2 linked regions of the Astyanax mexicanus genome follow. The protein of the gene in region 1 purifies or fractionates together with the protein of each later gene. This does not show direct contact. Links are inferred from orthologs where the notes say so. Each region holds a gene or a part of one and is shown in the gene's direction. Other genes may lie near its edges. The genes, in order: ptpro and dnajb11.

Region 1 (9,587 bases):
ATTTTATAATAAACACAATTTTATCAGTATCTGCACGTGTCTGTATTCTGTGCTCACAATGACACATGTACTATCAAAGTTAATTTACAAGTTCTTTAATTTAATAGTAATGTAATTTACAAAAGTCATTATAATATACATAGGTAAATAGCCACACCAGCAATGGAAGCAGTTAGAAAAGTTCCAGTTAGTGTTCATATAAACTTCAATGTAATCAGTAGTGGAGAGTGAGCAACTAGTCTGAGCTGGGTGGAATAAAGCTGCTTTGTGGGTGATGGGGAAGCCTGACTTCCATCAGTCTGGAAGCACAGGTCACAGGAATGGTCAAACATCCTTTGGCCAAACAGGTGGGCAGTCAGTAACTCGGAGAAAGGCAGAAAGATGAAATTAGTTTTGAGTGGATTTATGGAAAACAGAAAATATGAAACATTATCAGAGTGTGGCTAATGACTCCGGCAGATCTGAGTAAAACAACCTAACTAAAGGCAGAAAGCCAGAAAGTAACATAAACACAGAGGCACCATGAAACACAGGCATCCAACAACTCCACCGTCCAAAACCTGAGTGACCTAGCTGAAGTTTATTTAAATTAATGCTGGAACATCCTGACAGTAGTGCATTACAATAGTCTAGCCTTGATGTAATGAAGACATGTACTCATTTTTGTGCATCATTTAAGTAAAAGGCATTTGTTCCAAACCAGGGTTTGTACACTTTTCAGCTATAGAGGGGTGTAGAATTCACAGGCAAAATATTTGAATGAATAAATGACGTCTTCTGACAATTCTGCATCATGGTAGCTTTGCATTGTGCTGCTGTACTACAGTGTAATGCAGCTAGTTAGAATGGGCTCCTCCATGAACCTGTTACAGTTGCACATGTGCTGTTTTGTCTGACTGTCTGACTGACTGACTGACTGACTGAAAGTGAAGTTGTAGTTGGGCCCTGTTTTGGTGTGATGCGTTGAGGACCTCATTGGATCATTGGTTGTAGGGATACCAAGAAACCTATAGCTATTACTCATTTCATAATTCTGTTATCATGTTCTTAACCTCTATAGAAATTACAAGACAATACACTAGAATTAGGAACAATTTCAAGTGGAAATTCTCTCATTATCAGTCATGCTACTTATCTGATAATTTAAAAATTATATTTTGTACTGCAATCCGAATCAAACACTTACAGAAGAGTAGAGCAAATGCTGTAGAAATCTGTAAATGCACGCTGTGAACCCAAGGATTTTGTTTTCAACTTGTGTCAAACAGTATGCCATAATTCTAATACTATTTTGACTGGATTATTTTTGACTGGATTTTACAAAAAAGCACAAAAAGTCAACCAGAGGCTGGTTTTGATCCCACATAAATCTAAATCCTAGACACTTTTAATGCACATTCAAGCATTCTGTCCATTAGCAGTGCATAGAGGAAGTGGCGGTAAGATTATGCATTTAGATACACTTTAGTCCAGGGTGTGCCCCCACAAATCAATCTAAATATGACCCTGAACTGAGAAAATGTCTGAAGTTAAAACATCAATATTTGATACTCAATATAGAAAAAATGAGCTCAGTGAAGATATTTAAGTGAGCTCTACTCTGCAGGAATATTATTTAATTATTCACTTTAAGGCTTCTTATTCAGTAACTGTAATAAATTATTCAGTAACTAGTATGAAACTAAAATGTAAGTGATGTATTTAAGCATGGGATCACTGGTGAGTTTTTAGAATTAAAATGTGACTTTTAAAAACTTTAAATGTTTTAAATTGTGCACATTATGTACATACGTACACATACATGCAATCACCCTTTTCATGGTTTTCAGATCTTACTAAAAGCCACTCATTTTTGAAGCTACAAAAATATAGAATGTGATTCTCATTACTAGTTTTGTGTCATGAATCCAATCACAATATTTTCTTGTATTATAACATGATGTAACTGATCACTTCTCAGAACCCAATCATTACAAAACAAACCTGCATTATTGTTTAAAAAGGGTCATATGCAACAACCTGAGAATAGGTCAAATTTAAATATGGCATTTTCTGGACACTGTAATATGTTTCCCATTTATTTGCAGAACTAAGTGGTAAATAGTGGTAAATATGTTGTTAATAATCATATATTGTATGCTTCCTCAGATCTGCACATAGCAAATTTTATATTATGTAAATGTTCTATTTTAACACATTTTTACATCGACACTCATTTTTATACTCTTTCTTATGCATAAGGTATTTGATTTACTGTTTATCTGCCTATACACTGTAAACCCACAATTAGTTTGAACTCAAATAAATGAATTCTGTTTTATGTAAATTGGATATTTCCAATCCTTACTCAACTTCTTTTAGTTAGGTGAACCTTTGTGGCCACATATACATTCCAATGTTTGAGTTGAATCAACTTATAATTACTGAGTTTAGTCTGTACTATTGACTACTTTGCCTTTTTGTTCTTTTTGCAAGTCTTATTTTCCGAGCTGCTAACTCGTGTGTGCAACGCTGTTCACTCTATAGCATTTTCTTTCTCCATCTAATTTTCTGAGTATTTATCTTTGTTTTAGTTCAATGAAATAAAAAAATACTTGATACAAATCTATTTTATTTACCTAACCACAAAAGTTAAAGTAGAATTATTGTGTAAAGCAATTTATATTTTTTATATAATCATTTAGAATTTTTTTAGCCTACGTTTTCAGTAAACATTACTTAAAAATTTTAAGTTTTAAGTGATAATGTTTTTCACGAGCCAAAGATCAGTAAAGATGTGAACAGTAAAGCTCAGGGGAGGCTACTAATACACAAATACTGGTTTGAATGTGAAGTTGACAAAAACAGATGCTCTCTAGGTGTGTCTCTGGCCAATATATTTTTACTGTTTTTGGTCAATTTTACCAAATGGGTGCCATTTGCTTGCTGTAACTTAATTTAACTTAACCTAATTGTTTTTATCTAATAACACATATTTAACTATGCAAAATATGTACTGGTCAATGTCAGGCAGCTTTACTTAATTTTAACAAGGTTTTTAAGCCAAATATGGTTACAAAACTCATGTGACATTTAAAAACATCAATTCCATTTATTTTTTCTCAAATAAGTATTTAATTTAAAGAAATGGTTGACTGCATGTTCAAATAATTGATATTTATGAGAAAATAATCACTTTTTATGTATTTCTTCTAAAATATGCAAAGCTATTTTTATCTTATCAAGAAGACCCAACCCTGAATTTAATCAAATTATTATTATTATTATTATTATTATTATTATTATTATTATTATTATTATTATTATTATTATTATTATTATATTTATTGTGCAATTTATTAAACAGATGAATGAATGATGAACCAAACAGAATTGGAAAGAAGCGGTTTACACTAGCTAATATTTACATTAATAAATGCATAAACCAAGGGACAGTACCCACTACTGTTACTGAAACTCACTCCTGTTACTGGCACGCAGTCCTGTTACTGGCACTCACTCATGTTACTGGCACTTATTCCTGTTACTCAAACTCACTCCTGTTACTTTCCGTCTCGTTACTCAAAACATAAAGAGTAACAGGACTGAAAGTAACAGGACTAAGTTTTTAGCATAGAATTAGCAAAAACATGAAAAACAGCTAAATGACGGCTATGCTAATATCATGAGGACACTGAGCACATTCTAGTGATTTCCCCCAAATTTTTATTTTAAAAATAAACAAATAAATAAGATCTAAGAATTAATGGAGGTAACAGGACAGAACATTGAGACATCCTCAGTCATAGTTACAATAATATTAAATATACAGCAAAACAAATGAGAGAACCTAATTTTGGTCTTCCCATGATCTTCAAAAGAACCTACTGATGTAACTTCCTGTTGTAGATGTGACTTATAGAATGTTCCAGATGTTTCAGATGGGGTAATGTGTTATGGTAACAGGAGTGAAAACCCAGGGACACAACTTAAATGTGTATTTTAACTTAAATATTATGGATTTATCATGAAAAAAATTGCAGTCACACAACAATGCAAAAAAATACATCTGAAAGATTTTTACAATTATATTTCTTGGTTTAGTTAGAGAGTGCAGACAGGTAACAAATGCTATTTTTTCTGTGTAACAAATGCTATTTAACTTAGTTGTTATTTTTTTAATTACATATCTCACTTTTGCAACCAGGTCAGTGAACAAGACACTGTGATTAATTAAAAAATGTATATATAAGTTATTTTGTGTGCACATGTATATATGTAATTTCCTGAGGACAGAAACAGCACCGATTCGGCTGAATATGCCTTGTATCGTGTAGGCGCTGAGATGAGCTATTATGTTGAGTTAGTGAAGCAGCATGGTGCTGAAAGTAATACACGGCTCCTGCTCTCTGTTTCTCTTTACTCTTCTCCGCGATTTTATCAACATGGAGCTGTAGATTTGTACAAGTAAAAGAAACCTGAAAACACACAGCCTGAGTTAGCCTTTAGCCACGAGAAGAAAAGCATGTGGTCGACCCTCTGTCCCACTAAACCTCCCCCACCACCATTTCTCCTCCCCTCACTCTGGAGGTCCGGCTTCTGAACGAATCTTTCTATTGAACCGATTCTTTACGATGAATCGGATGACTGAATCCATCTTTCTTGCTTTGTCCACACGCTGTCCACGTGTAACACACCTCTAATAACAACCCTTCACCCTTTTACTTAATCACAGCGAAACACACTGAGATAGTGGAATATTTTCAGTTTACAGTTACACTCATACTCTGTGCAGTGTTAAATTAAAATGGTGACTTGACTGATGATCAAGTGATAGCTACTTTCAGTGTTTTCTTTTTTAGCACTAATATCGTGTGGGAGGTTTCATGGCTAATTGGAGCAGCCTGGTGGCCAATCTTCATTAATTGCACATTGCACAACCCTAAGTTTATTTAAAAACAGTCTAAACTGATAGCTAGCCCCGCATATTTACGTTCATTTAATAATGCGTATTTAGTTCATCTTGTAGTTTTTAAGATGCTGTAGTTGTAAAAAAATGTTTTTACAGTTTTTTTAAGACAAATGAAATGCAGCACAGCTAATTCACATATATCACGCTCAAAGAGAGCGTACCACAGCAGTCTATAAGTCTATAAGAAAAAGATGAATGAAAAGGTTAAAATGGTTATGTATTTTTACCAGTCAAAAGTTCTCCTTCTCATTCAATGTTTTTCTTTATTTCTATATTTTAGAATAAAATGTTATAAAACATTTTTTAAATTATAAAAAGGGAAAAAAGACGTAGACTGGAAAGAGGTGTGTCTAAAGTTTTGACTGGTTCTGTATATAAGGCCAAACGAACCTTAATTACTGTATAATTAACAAACATGTGTTTAAAAGTTGATCATATGGGACGTTTAAACGTTATGGTTCGAACAGTTTCGATCCGTTTTATTTAAGCGAGCTGTTCTATAGAATCGGTTCAGCTGTACTGAATCGACATTCCCGTCTCTAGCCGCCCTCCTGCCAATCAGCGAGAAGGGCGGGGCCTGGAGGAGAGCGAGAGAGAGAGAGAGAGAGAGAGAGAGAGAGAGAGAGTCAGTGTGTATGTGTATGTGAATGTGTGTGTGTGTGTGTGTGTGTGTTTGTGAGAGAGAAAGAGAGAGAGAGAGAGGGGCAGACAGAGAAAGCCATTCAGCCCGTCTGCTCTCCTGAAGCTGGTGGTCCGTGGTTGGAGCTGCCTCCTCGGTCGGACCCAGAAGAAGCACATGGACGGATGTAGGAGCTGTTCAGCGGCGGTACACAGTCAGAGGGAGCCGTAAGGGCGTCGGGCAGACCGCGCGGAGGCGGCGGCGGTGGTGGGGGTTAGCGCTGGAGGACCACCGGGGTCGGGGGAGCGAGCGGTCTGATGCTGCAGAAAATTCGCCATTGTTCGGATGTGCGCGGCGCGGGGAATCGAGCAGCAGCAGCAGCAGCAGCAGCAGAGGAACAGCGTTTGGACGCAGAGCGGAGCGAGGATGACTGCAGCACCGACTCATGCCCTCCTTCTCCTCCTCCTCCTCAGCATCCAGGTAGGATACAGTCTTTTACCCCAGCGATATTACCCCCCACCCCCTTTCTGATACAGTGTGGGGGAGGAGGGGGAGCCATATGCCCTGTCTGCCTACTTCACCATCAGCGGCAGCAGCAGCAGCGGGCAGGCGGTTCACTCCACATCCCTTATTATTATTAAACTCGCTTATCTTCTTAATTAATCCTCCCCGAAGCGAAATCGACCGCTTCTTCTCCATCTCCTCCATCTCCAGCCGCCGCTCCGGAGCTCTGGAGCTGATCGTATTTGCCTCTCTCCGTGCGGCTCCCCATAGGCTGATGTTTCTTGAGGCAAAATTGGGTCATTCCAGCTGAAGCTCTGTGCCTGAGGATCTGCTCCTGCCACTGCAGAGTCCAGCGCCGGTCTGGGGATCTGAGAGCAGTCTGGAAGCGGCAGAGCAGAGCCAGGCTGTAAATGTTTTTTATTTGGGAGCATTTCTTTATCAGCTGCTTAGCAGCCTCAGCTCTGAACCCTGAGAAAGATGCTGTCCAGCTCACTGTTTACTGAACTGCTTCAGCTGCAGAGATTAAAAAAGGCCCAGCACACATTTTACACACAACAGAACAACACAGCTCACTGTGCTGCAGTGCTCACTGAGCCCGAGCTCAAATAACTCATCAGTTTAAATCGGGTTTTAAACACATTTCAATCAAACTCTGGTTCAGATTAATTTACTGGTTCAGATTAAGTGTTCTGTTATTCACATTGACACCGTCAGTGCTTTCAATTTATGTCAGATAAAAGATTAAACAAAGAGGAATTTAGGAGGGTAAAATATAGGACAGGACATATTTATTATTATGTGTAATAAATATTCACTTTATCTTCTTAAAATACAGCTCTGGAAAAATAAAAGTCCACTTAAAATGATGAGTTTCTTTGGTTTTACCAATTTGAGAACATCTGGAATATAGTCAAGAGGGAGCTAGATGATCACAGCCATTAAACCAAAATGCATGAAAACTGTGAGTAAAATCCAAGGTTATTCCACCGGAATTTTCTTTTTTGTCATTTCATTTTTCATTTTCTGCACATAAATGCTCTAAATGACAATATTTTTATTTGGAATTTGGGAAAAATGTCTGTAGTTTATAGAATGAAACAACAATGTTACTTTTACTCAAACATATACCTATGAATAGCAAAATCAGATAAAATGATTTTTTTCCAGAGCTGTATATTAACTGATATTGAATTTTGTTTATCATTTTGTAATATGTAAAAGGCTCACATCAGCTCAATAGCTACTTGTGGGAGGTTTCATGGTTAATTGGATCAGCCTGGTAGCCAATCTTCATTAATTGCACATTGCACCAGTAAGAGCAGAGTCTGAAGGTTCAATTAGCAGGGTGAGCACAGTTTTGCTCAAAATATTGCAATTCACACAACATTATGGGTGACATACCAGAGTTCAAAAGAGGACAAATTGTTGGTGCACTTCTTGCTGGTGCAGGTGTGACCAAGACAGCAAGTCTTTTTGATGTATCAAGAGCCACGGTATCCAGGGTAGTGTCAGCATACCACTAAGAAGGACGAACCACATCCAACAGGATTAACTGTGGATGCAAGAGGAAGCTGTCTGAAAGGAATGTTCGGGTGCTAACCCGGATTGTATCCAAAAAACATAAAACCACGTCTGATCAAATCACGGCAGAATTCAATGTGCACCTCAACTCTCCTGTTTCCACCAGAATTGTCCGTCTGGACAATAAATTATTGTGGTCTAAAACCAAGTGTTTAGTTTCATTGTCCAACCCCTCTATACAGTTTTCATGCATCTTGGCATGTGTCCTCCACCAGTCTTAGACATTGCTTTTGGATAACTTTATTCCACTCCTGGTGAAAAAATCCAAGCAGTTCAGCTTGTGATCATCCATCTTCCTTTTGATTATATTCCAGCTTTTTTATTTTATTTGGTAGAATCAAAGAAAATAATTTTTAAGTGGTCTCTTATTTTTTTTCAGAGCTGTATATCAAAATGTTTGTGGACACTCCTTCTAATAAATTCATTCAGCTCCTGTGGGCTTGAGGGTTGTTAAAGCCCCCTGCATTGATCTGTGGACCAGTGAAACTGTGTTCTTTGGAGGAATGGAGTTACATCCAATACTTTCAGGATGAGTTGGGGAGTAGGGATGAGGTGGTGTCGTAATCATTCAACATCCTGACCTCTCTAAAGCTCTTGTCAAATCACTGAATCTGATCAACATTCTCTCACAGCAATGCTCCAAAATGTAGTTAAAAGTAGAGATAGTCACTCTAACAAGAGAGCCATAAACTCTTCTAATACTCTTGTTTTGGACAAACAATGAAGAGTTGTCACAATAGCAAGTAAAGCAAGTTTAAGAGAAATGGATCTACAAAAGTCTTAAAGTTAAAAGACTCCTCAAAACTTTTCTCAACAATCTGCAGTCATGAAGTCTGTAAGCAGCTATCCATATCTCTGAAAATTAAAATAAGTGATGCTCACAAAGCAGTAGAAATCTATAAGTAGATAGCAAGGGTTTTCAGGTAGCCCTTTCTTCGATTTGTAATGGAATTAACCTAATTCATTGGAACCACTGGTGGTTCTCGGTTGTTTTAACAGTTTGCATTGCTTTGAATGTAGATTTATAATCTTTCAAGCATAATAGTAATAATAGAATACATATTTAAAGTAAAATGGGTTAAGAAATGCTAACAAGGCAAAGTGACCATTTGACTTCAAAAGACATGCACAAATATAACAGCAGGTTACCAAATTTCATGAAAAAAGATGCAGACAGTAGAGCAGGGAACATTCCACTGGCAGAGGAAAGTCGGAATCAGTAAAATAACAGCTATTTCTGGAAGCAAAATTCATATTATGTGTAAAAAAATTAAGATACTGAGAGGAATTCTTCTATGACAGAGTAATCATACTGAACACACCTTCAAATCCATAATAGACTGCCTCAAGAGGTGCAAGCTGAAGAAACTGCCACAATCCTCACAGCCCTCCAATTTAATCATAGTCAAAAATCTGTGGATAGATCTTAAATTAGCAGTGCATGCAGTACAGCCTTGGAATCTCACAGAATTATACTTTATTGTACTTCTGCTTTAGGCTCTTTTCTAAAGGAATGTGATATCTTTAACTGTATGATTTTTGAAAATAAGGTCATCTTTTGATTATAATTCTGTTTTAATCAAAAGATAATTGTTGTATTGACCAGTTTGAGATATGCAGCCAGTATACAAACATACACACCTACACAACATTTGAAATCCAGTGTGTGTGCTTTCGAATGAGCTGCCTCAATATAAGTCAGCTATAGAGTCAGAAACATCCAAATTTGTTTTAGGTAAAAAATGAGCTGCTGGCTGGACATTAAACAGTGTGATGACTGAAAAGAAAAAAAGGGAACTGAATATGGAGTTTCAGTATGACTGCAAAAAAGAACCAGCCCAAAAAATATTATAGAAATTGGCTGGGGTTTGATAGCCTGTATTGCTGTGTTGATAACTGTGTTGCACTTGGGGTCAGCTAGTTTTGTCACAA
Region 2 (10,316 bases), on another chromosome or scaffold:
TTTGAAGTTCATTGTTTATGTTGTTATTATATATTTTAGAGATGTTTTTTCATCTAAATGGATTTTTACTAAAAAGCATTTTCAAAGGAAGATCAGAAGTGTTTTTGTCATTATTATTGTCATTTCTTTATTCTTCATTTACTGTCGCTGCTCTTCAACAACAATATATACAAGAGTATTTCAAGAGTTTTCTGAGATTTATATATTTGCTAATATAGCAAAATACAAATATATGCAAAGGCATGAATTACAAAGATCATCAACAACAAAAGGAAAAACATTGCTGAGATATAATTCATATTTATCTACATTGGACTATAACTAATTCAATGGGGCATATATGAAACAGTATTTCTGTCATTTACATTTTTTATATTTTTATTAAGCTTAATTTGGGGGGAATCTTCTTAGTATTTTGTAGAGATATACCTTAAATGGACTTTAAGGTACACCATATCTTAAGATCTTATGATCTTATGATCCTGCTTATTTTAAGGTACTTTCACTAGTGAAATAAACCGCAAACCTTCTCAGACGTACATGCAGTCGTGAGAAACGCGTTTGTAGCAGAGATAGTAGTAACCAGAACAAAAACCACAAGCCGCTGCAGTGTTTATCCGCGTTCAGTCGTAGTGAAGACTCTTGAAGTTAAAGCGCTTTCTGTCTGTGAAGCCCGTCAACTACAGAAAAGAAAGGAAAAGTTAATAAACAAGTAAGAAATTATGTAAAGCAAGAAAGTAAAAAACAACACATGAAAGAACAGTGGGAAAACCGGGGTTCATACTACACTTTTTAACCAATAAATTGCTTTTTTTTTTTTTTTTTTCAGGACTGTTTCATGTCTTCAAGGCAAAATTTCATGACCATACGACCTTTAGAACATCAGTTCAGACATAGACAATAAAAAAAAAAAAAAAAAAACTGAAACTATAATGATAAAAAATATTCTTTAAGCAATGATGACACAATTTTCAATAATAAAATTAATAAAATATTACTAACTTCATAATATTATTAATAAAATAGCTTTTCTCCGTTGATAAATGATAACACAATTGTAGATTGCAAATTTCCATGAGTATTTTTAATTTTCCCAAACTTCTTCAGGCCTGAAAATTGCTATTTTTAAATTTAATGAGCGTAGAAACCCTGAAAAACACACTGCTAATAGTGACTAAACTAAAATTAAATCAGAATAAAAAAAAAATACTTTTTTTCAAAAATAAAAAAAACAACGTTGTTGAAATGAGTAAAAAAAAGAGTTGAAGTGCTGCATTTGTGACCACAGTTTGCACAGGCCATGCAGCATCAAAGCCACAATCAGAACTATAAACAGGGTGGTTTTCTCACCTGGCTGGGGTCTCTGGTGAAGTATCTCTTCTCGATAACCTTTTAATCAGAAAGATAAAAGAACAAAATCAACCAAACCTTCACTTCTGAAGAAGTGAAAGAGAATTGACCACAAGGGTTTTTCATCATAATCTGCTAAAAGATCTACTAAATCTGCCGAATGTGGTCAAGTTCCTATTATTACTCATTTCTAAGAAATGTCTACACAACAGAATCTTTCACTCTACATAGCTGCACCTCCCCAACTACTTCTATTATAAGAGTTCTGAGAAGATATTTGCCTGTAAGCTACAGATGTATAAAAAAATCATAATACAATTTATAATTATTCAGCATTAAGCATTAAATACAGTTTAATACAGAAAAAGTATGTAAACCCTTTGGCATTACCTTAGAGATCTGCATAGCCTAGGGGTTCACATACTTTTCCCCCCCCCACTCACTGTGAATGTTAAAATGTTGCGTCAATAAAACCATGCAAACATATATATATATATATATATATATATATATATATATATATATATATATATATATATATATATATATATATATATATATATTTTTTTTTTTTTGTGTGTGGTTTTAGTTTAAGCAGACAATGTTTGTCTATTGTTGTGACTTAGATGAAAATCAGAACACATTTAATGACCAATGTATGCAAAAATCCGAGTATTCACAAAGGGTTTACATATTTTTTTTCTTGCATCTGTATATTTATTGCTAGTATCAGCTCATTAAACAACATTCTGCCGATCAATTCTTCAAATTTAGAAAAAAATTGAATATATGGACAAAAGTATTGGGACACCTGGTCAATCACTGGTCAATCTCTTCTGAAATTAGGGTGAATAAAAGGAGTTAATACTGTTTATACTGAAGTAACTGTCACTACTAATGTTAGGCTTGGTGCTGCTAAAAGGTTCACATTCATCTGCAAACAACCACTGCAACTATGGTAGATTATATTCCAGTACATACTAATATTATGAAGCATTAGAAGAAGTAAAGAGAATAAACAGTAAAGATGTTTGATTATTAATTAGTTTGATAAATAAATTAAAATCCAAAGCTGTTTTCTATGTATCTATATAGAAGTATCTTACTTTGTCAAAAAATCTGCTCAGTTTCACAGCATTAGATGAGCCAGCAGCAAAATAACGTGGATTTGTGGAGTCCTAAAGGTATAAATAGAAGAAAAAAAACAGTATCATTAATAGATAATCAGAAATTACTATTCAAATAGAGATGAAAGTGTAAGAAATACATTTTATTATTCTTTTTTTACAAGGTAGAACATTTTACATTGTGAAGAGCTAATTAACATAATTCTTATACATTATAATCACATACCAGGTTGATCTCCTCTGCGTTGAAGTCTTCAGACAGGAAGGCGGTGCGGGTCAGAACATCACTGCGCTTGTTTTCAGGTATCTGATCATATTTGGTGCCGATAATCAGGAGAGGAATGGGGTTCTCTGCAAACTGCTCTCTGTCATAATCCCTGTGTGATCACATAATAAATAAATAAAACAAGGCATAACATTTATTCTTAGGTAATCATCCTGCAGTATTTTTCTCTAAAGTGTGGATTTTTGCATCAAAACAGGCCCAAACTCAGTCCTTCTTAACTACCCTTCAGAACGGTGCCATGTACATGGCAGAGGGAGTGGGGGAGAAACCAAACACAGATTAAATGAAATCAAGTGTTGAGCATGACTTACTACACCTTATATCAGATTACAAAGTGTAACGTAGGTGTTATAAAATGGCCAGTTAGTATACTAAGTGTTTTAAACCACAGCGGCACATGTTGTGTTTGATACACTTAACACTTACTACACCACCACCAAATATCACATGGTCAATGGGGGCATAAGATGTAAGTATTAAGTAAATATCTAATAAAATTACAGAACAGTGCAGTCACTGTCACGCGATTTTACTAGATTTAAGACAAAGCAAATTGAAACTGTCATTTTTAAATGTTAAAAGTAATTTTGGATTATTTCTCTGTGTCCATACATTACAAAGAATTATGTAACAAAGTGAAGGGAACTAAAACACTGCCACATCATGCTTCTAAATGTGCACTAAAACTTCTACATTAGAATTTCTGTTCCCAGACATGTTATACATACATTACAAGCCTAAACACTGAGTTATTCACACAGATAATCATTTCAGCCTTTACACCTAAACTGATAGTGTCTTACCCATTGGACACGATCACCCCTGTAGGCGACGAGTCTTTGTTTAGTGCCTCCATCGACCAGCGATACAGGTTCTGGGAGGATTTCTTATTGGTCAGGTCATGGACTAGAATTATGCCTGAGGAAAAAAAAAACGACATTCCCATATTTTACCAGCGATATTAAAGAATACAGGCATTTTCACTAGAGGTGGCCACAACTCAATGACCCAACATGACACAATATTACTAACAATACACAATGTATATCCAGTAAGTAATAAAGTAAAGTAAAGTAATAAAGAAAACATTAAATGAGAAGAGGTGCATCCAAAATGTTGTATATCTGCACTCTCCAGTGCTTCATTTTTGTTACTTTACCATTAACTGAATTGTAGAAAACCGCTCTGGTACTTTTGACACTACTGGCACTTCCAACTGAACCTCCAACATCCCACAGTTCAATGTAATAGGTCTTCTCCTCTGGCGTGCCCTCTTTATAGTCGTGAACCTGCAGGGTGAGGTTAGTATAAATTTAATCTGTATGATCAATTTTAAATCAGTATTTTCTAACTGTGGAAAAAATTAAGAGACCACTTCAATTTCTAAATTAGTTTCTCTGATTTGGCTATTTTTAGGTTTATGTTTAAGTAAAATGAACATTGTTGTTTTATTCTATAAACTACACACAACATTTCTCCCAAATTCCAAATGAAAATATTGTTATTTAGAGCATTTATTTACAGAAAATGAGAAATGGCTGAAATAAAAAAAAAGATGCTGAGCTTTCAGACCTCAAATAATGCAAAGAAAAAAGTTAATATTCATAAAGTTTTAAGAGTTCAGAAATCCATATTTCTGAATATCAATATGTCAGGTTCTCCTCCACCAGTCTTACACACTGCTTTTGGAGAACTTTATGCTGCTTTACTCCTGGTGCAAAAATTCAAGCAGTTCTGTTTGGTTTGATCTTGTGCCCATCCATCTTCCTCTTGATTATATTCCAGAGGTTTTCAATTTGATAAAAATCAAAGAAACTCTAATTTTTAACTAATTTTTAAGTGATCTCATTATTTTTTATGAGCTGTATAAGTTAACCAAGTTGTCAACCTTACCCTGACGTCCACAGAGCAGCCTACTGTCCATGAAGGATTTCCCAGCACTTGATTTTGACACACCAGATGAACTAAAGAAGATTTCCCAACGCCTATAACCAAACAGTAAGATTAAAGCCGATGTAAATTGGCGAATAAACAATTAATTAAACATTTTAACTCCCTGCCAGAGCTAGCTAAACATTAGCTAGGTTGGCTTGTCAACCTGCAAGTGTTTACTCAGTGCTAGCTTAAAGTATCACTAGAGCAGTTTAAAAGAGCCGACAGATTAAAAACAAGACATAAAACACGGCGTGAATCATATATAAACAATTATAGTGTAACATTAACAGCTGTGTCTCACCAGAATCTCCCAACACCAGCACTTTTACTCTGTCCAGAGAAGCCATTATTAGCTAGCGTTAGCTAACCTTACCTAGCTACTGTCTGTCACTAGCGACGCCGAGAAAGCACACAGCACTACTTCCTGTTAGAAAATCAGGCAAAATAAAAGTCGAATTACCTCAGCATAAGATAAAAAAAAATATTAATTCCACTAATACTAACTTTATTTATTTATTACTTTGCAAACATAACCCAGAGTGCAGCTCAAATTGCAAACAAATGTTACCTTTCATTTTGAAAAAAAAGAAATAAAAGAAAACGTTAAATAAAATAAACATATTTTATTTAAAATAAACAGTTCAAAATTTTTTTTTATTTTTATTTTTTTAACTTAATGTTAATAATCTACTTGTTATTAGAATACTTACGAATATTTTTACTGTGACGTATATCTTGATAAAAAAAAAACACTGGAATATAATCAAGAGGAAGATCACAACTGAACTGCTTGACTTTTTTTTCTTTTCAGCAGGAGTGGCACAACATCACCCAAAAGCTGTGTGAAAAACAGGTGGAGGAGAACATGCAAAGATGATTAAAAATAAGGGTTATTCCACCAAATATTGATTGATTTCTGAACTGTTTCTGAGTTAAAACATTAGTAATATTGTATTTTTATACATATGACCTTGATTTTTTTTTTCATTGTTTGAGATTGTACGAAACTACTGCATATTTTCTGTTGTTTTGCAAATAAATGTTCTAAACGACAATATTGAAATGTTATCAGTTGTTTATACAATAAAAGAACAATATTCATGTTACTTAAAGATATAGTTAGGAATTGTCAAATCAGAGAAACTTATCATTTTTTAATTTCATTGAATTTCATGTCATTCTTTTTATTTTTTCTTTACCGGAGCTTTATTTATAATTATTTTGAAATGTTCTTGGAGACTTTGATTTTTCTATTTTATTATATTTTTTACTTCATAGTAATAATCAAATTGTTATGAAAATAGCGTTATATAGCTAGTATTATATATATACTTTCTGTGTAATTGCATATTTAAACCGTTAATTTGAAATGCCTGGCCTTTAAGGGACTTTTATTTTTTCTTTCTTTGCAGCCGGTAAGAAAATTGGGGGCGTGTCTTTCTCCTAGAACAGGAAGCGGTCACTGCACTACACAACACACAGAAAGCCGGTGTGTTTTACTGCGCTTCGGGATTAAAGCGAGACCTATGGCCGCGGGAGGGATGAAACTATCGAGTATATGCTGTCTGCTCTTATATTTAGTAGCGACAGTACTGGCTGGGTAGGTGGCAGCGCTGTTTTCTCTGTGTATTTAGTTTCTCCGCTGTGTGAAGCGGGTCTCTGGGCTGGTACACATGTTCTTCTGTGATTGGTCTGCGCCGCTCCACTCTCTGGAGCTACATGTGTGCTGTAGTGGAGGGCTATCAAATGTACCTATTTAACTACGCAGAGGGACGTTTGTCTTGATTTAAGAATAAAATAAATAACCTTAATGCTGTAGCTGTATTTAGATTATCGTTAGGTATTTGGAGAGGTTACATATAAAACTGATAACCTAGATAAGATACACCATCTGTATTTAGCCATTGTCTCTCATTCTTTCAAATTTCTTAGATTTTCTTTTTTTACTGGATAGAAGTCACAATGATCGCCTTATAATTAAAATTATACAGCTAGCTTATTATATAACCTAAATTCCTAATCACACTTTTGTTGCAAATATTTTATCCATTCAGGAGGGATTTCTACAAGATTCTTGGGGTTAGCAAATCAGCATCTATCAAAGACATCAAGAAAGCCTACAGAAAGTTGGCACTTCAGCTTCATCCTGACCGAAACCCTGATGACCCCAGTGCCCAGGACAAATTTGCAGATCTCGGAGCTGCTTATGAGGTGTGTTGTTGGTCTCTGTTTCTATTTCCACACACAGCTGAAAAGCTGGAAGTGTGATTTTTAATATAAATTATACTGTTTATTATTATTTATTAGCTTAATATAAAGTTCTTCAAATTTGAGCAGCTAAACATGTGTATATATATATAAAAAATTTTTTTATTTGTTTGTTTGTTTGTGTGTCACTGTAATATAATATCCAAGGCTTTAGCTGTATGTATGACAGGCATCATTTCAGTGTTGGGGAAACCACGGATGAATCTGATTGGTGGAGTGAAATGTGTGGCTACGTCTGATTGGTCAAAAGTCAGCTGACTGGTAGTATTGAAAACACGACGTGGAGCTGCTCTGGCGGTAGATTAGTTAACAGTTGCAGTTTTCTCAGGCGCTTTTGATTCATTTTTCAGATAAAAATAAGGTTCTCAAAACTAAAAAAAAAAGCACAGGAAGTAATAAATGGTTGTGTTGGTAGATTATTCCTATTATTTCTTTGTTTTAATCATGCTTCATGAAAATAAATCCAAATATACTAATATGCTCTCAAATACATTAACCCCTGTTTTCTTCTATCTTCTGTGTTTTTGCGCTTTTTTGCACAAATTGAGATATGTTCTCTATCAGAATAGACATTTGTCAAACAATCAAACAGCAGATTAGCACCGCCCACAAAAATAGACAGCACAATACAGTGTTACAGTTTCTGACAATTTCTGTATCGCAGTGACACGGCTAATCAAATTACAGTACAAATAATACAGCATAATTTTTAACTGTGTACAGACAGTAAGCCTTTTTCTTGCTCAGCACTGATCTCTCCAATCATTAAAGGAACATCAGAAGGCAATTAAACTAATCAGGAACAGATTGAAACCAGATTAGGTTAAAGCCACTGTCCTCTTTATTGTCTTGATGAATTATTATATTCTGATACCACTTAATGAATGACTTGTGTAATCTGAACTCAGGTGCTGTCAGACGAGGAGAAAAGGAAACAGTATGATGCCTATGGAGAGGAGGGTCTGAAGGAAGGTCATCATAGCTCGCATGGTGATATCTTTTCCAGGTAAGTGTCCAAGCAATATTATATTATTAAAGGGGTGACATTTTTTAAATTCCCTTTTATTTTAGTACATGCGGTTAAACTGCACATGTATTTATTGTGTAACAGAAAGTTAGAGACCTACCTGGCTGTTCTAGACAGCTTTAGGAAGAGCTCAGCTATAGTACTTTTTTTTTTAATGAGGATATAGTGTATGTGTTCATACAGTTGTCCAGTAGTATTACACTGCACTTTTTTGCCCCCACTGTCACTATGTATATGACTATCATGACACTCACATTTCTTCTATGTTTGTTGCAGCTTCTTTGGGGACTTTGGGTTTATGTTTGGAGGAAACAGGCAGCAGCAGGACCGGAACATCCCAAGAGGAAATGACATTATCCTGGACCTGGAAGTTACACTGGAGGAGGTTTATTCTGGAAATTTTGTTGAGGTAAGATAACCACTAATTCTCTGGTCTTAATAATTCCATAACTCCTTAATAAAGTGTTTTATATAAATATGTTTTATATAAATATGTTTTAAATTAAATCGTATTCTTATTTGAGCTGTGCAAAACATCACAGTAATCTGTTATTTACCACCATATTACCACCATATATATTTCACTGATTAGTTACAGACTACAGCTACTCGATGCTTACCATTATGTGCCAATTTGGCAACCCGCATGAGTTTCACATCTGGGGAGGAGTGGGTAGGGCAGAAATCTCTACCCAGTGTTTGGAAATTGGACTTCTGTAACAATTTTACACACTCACTTGCATTTATAACTGATTTTTCCTTTAATACATTTCGTGTCATATCCTCTGGTTCAGCATGGGAAGGATGCTGTTCTTCCTTGTTTCTTATTGTCACATATTTCCTCTCTTCACATTTCCCTCTTTTACTATGTAGGTAGTGCGAAACAAGCCAATTGCTAAAGAGGCACCAGGAAAAAGGAAATGCAACTGTCGCCAGGAAATGAGAACTACACAGCTCGGGCCAGGCCGCTTCCAGATGACCCAGGAAGTAGTCTGTGATGAATGCCCAAACATTAAGTAAGTTCTGCTTCCACTTTCCTCAAATAATAATGATGTAACTTGCTAATAGATGATAAATGGTGCGCACATGTTTACAGTGTGTTTTTACTCTTTGCAGGCTTGTGAATGAAGAGAGGACACTAGAGGTGGAGATTGAGCAGGGAGTCAGAGATGAGATGGAATATCCCTTCATTGGTGAAGGTATTTTAACCGCAGTGAAACTAATGATTTTATTATACAAAGTTCTAGAATGCAGGTATTGGTATGTGGTTAAAAATATATCTGAGAACAGCAATATATGTTTGGTCATTTGTGTGCAGGGGAGCCACACATTGACGGAGAGCCTGGAGATCTCCGCTTCCGTATCAAAGTCTTAAAGTAAGGATTGGTTATTTCAGTTAATTTTTTTATGATAATGACTGGATCAATTTATTACTAGCAACTATTGAAACATTCCATGTCAGTGAAAACTGAATTTAAATAGAATCATTTATGCCTTTTGGGCTCACTAGGTTTGTATGTAGTTTGGATTGCACTGTATTGCATGCATGAGTGTGGGGTTTCCTGCATTGAATAGGGATCAGATTTTTTTGCTAGAGGGGGTTGTCTGTACCTAGAACTTAGGGGACTGTAAAAGAAAGGTTTACCAATAATTGCTGAAGAGTGGGAAATCTTAATGCATCTACTTATTCAATATCTTTTTCTCTGCAGACATCCGCTGTTTGAGCGCAGAGGTGATGACCTGTACACTAACGTCACCATCAGTCTGGTTGAGGCTCTGGTTGGATTTGAAATGCAGATCACGCATTTAGACGGTCACAAGGCAAGTATTATTATCTCTATTTTAGCTCATCCCATGTTTAAGTTTTCTGACATTTTTAAGTTTATTATTTAAATCAAGGCGCAGAAATTTAGTTTTGTGTGCAGGCCAGATATTTTCCAAGCGGGCCACAAAAAAAAAAAAGAAAAATGAAGTGTAATGAAATGTAATGGGATAAAGTCATACAGACTAGTAGCTCTTCAGCCCAGAGGGTTGTTGAACCCAATTGCAGAACAGTTGATCTCAAAGCAGGTAAACCGAAGAAGAAAAGGAAAAAAAAAAAAACACAGCTCCTCAAGCTGGATTGGACCTATGTCATTAGGGTCGAGGTCCAATACACCACCGCTGCCCCGGCTAGTGAATTGAGACACAACCAGAAAAAACACCCCCAAAAAGGGGCAGAAAAACGAGAATGTGTGGAAACTACAGTCACACCGAGCGAGACAGAGAGACAGGGGAGGGATGTGAACAAAAGCTCACCAGAGAGGCATTTTATTTTATTTAT

The links.
Region 2: the proteins of ptpro (region 1) and dnajb11 purify together in Homo sapiens (affinity purification with mass spectrometry; 3 studies listed by BioGRID and IntAct, with this or other methods). This does not show direct contact. The link is inferred for Astyanax mexicanus from reciprocal best matches to the Homo sapiens genes PTPRO and DNAJB11.

What each region holds. Positions count from the first base shown.
Region 1 is NC_064409.1:31,043,829-31,053,415, reverse strand, and holds the start of ptpro (receptor-type tyrosine-protein phosphatase O), read left to right. Parts: upstream 1-5,654; 5' UTR 5,655-5,915; coding exon 5,916-6,050; intron 6,051-9,587.
Region 2 is NC_064418.1:3,061,009-3,071,324, forward strand, and holds the start of dnajb11 (dnaJ homolog subfamily B member 11), read left to right. Parts: upstream 1-6,142; 5' UTR 6,143-6,224; coding exon 6,225-6,298; intron 6,299-6,752; coding exon 6,753-6,909; intron 6,910-7,874; coding exon 7,875-7,972; intron 7,973-8,269; coding exon 8,270-8,402; intron 8,403-8,866; coding exon 8,867-9,009; intron 9,010-9,109; coding exon 9,110-9,192; intron 9,193-9,311; coding exon 9,312-9,369; intron 9,370-9,702; coding exon 9,703-9,814; intron 9,815-10,316. Other genes in the region: rabl3 (rab-like protein 3), read right to left, coding at 624-680, 1,351-1,389, 2,457-2,528, 2,704-2,854, 3,567-3,681, 3,923-4,052, 4,657-4,748, 5,000-5,045. UniProt on the Homo sapiens protein: As a co-chaperone for HSPA5 it is required for proper folding, trafficking or degradation of proteins.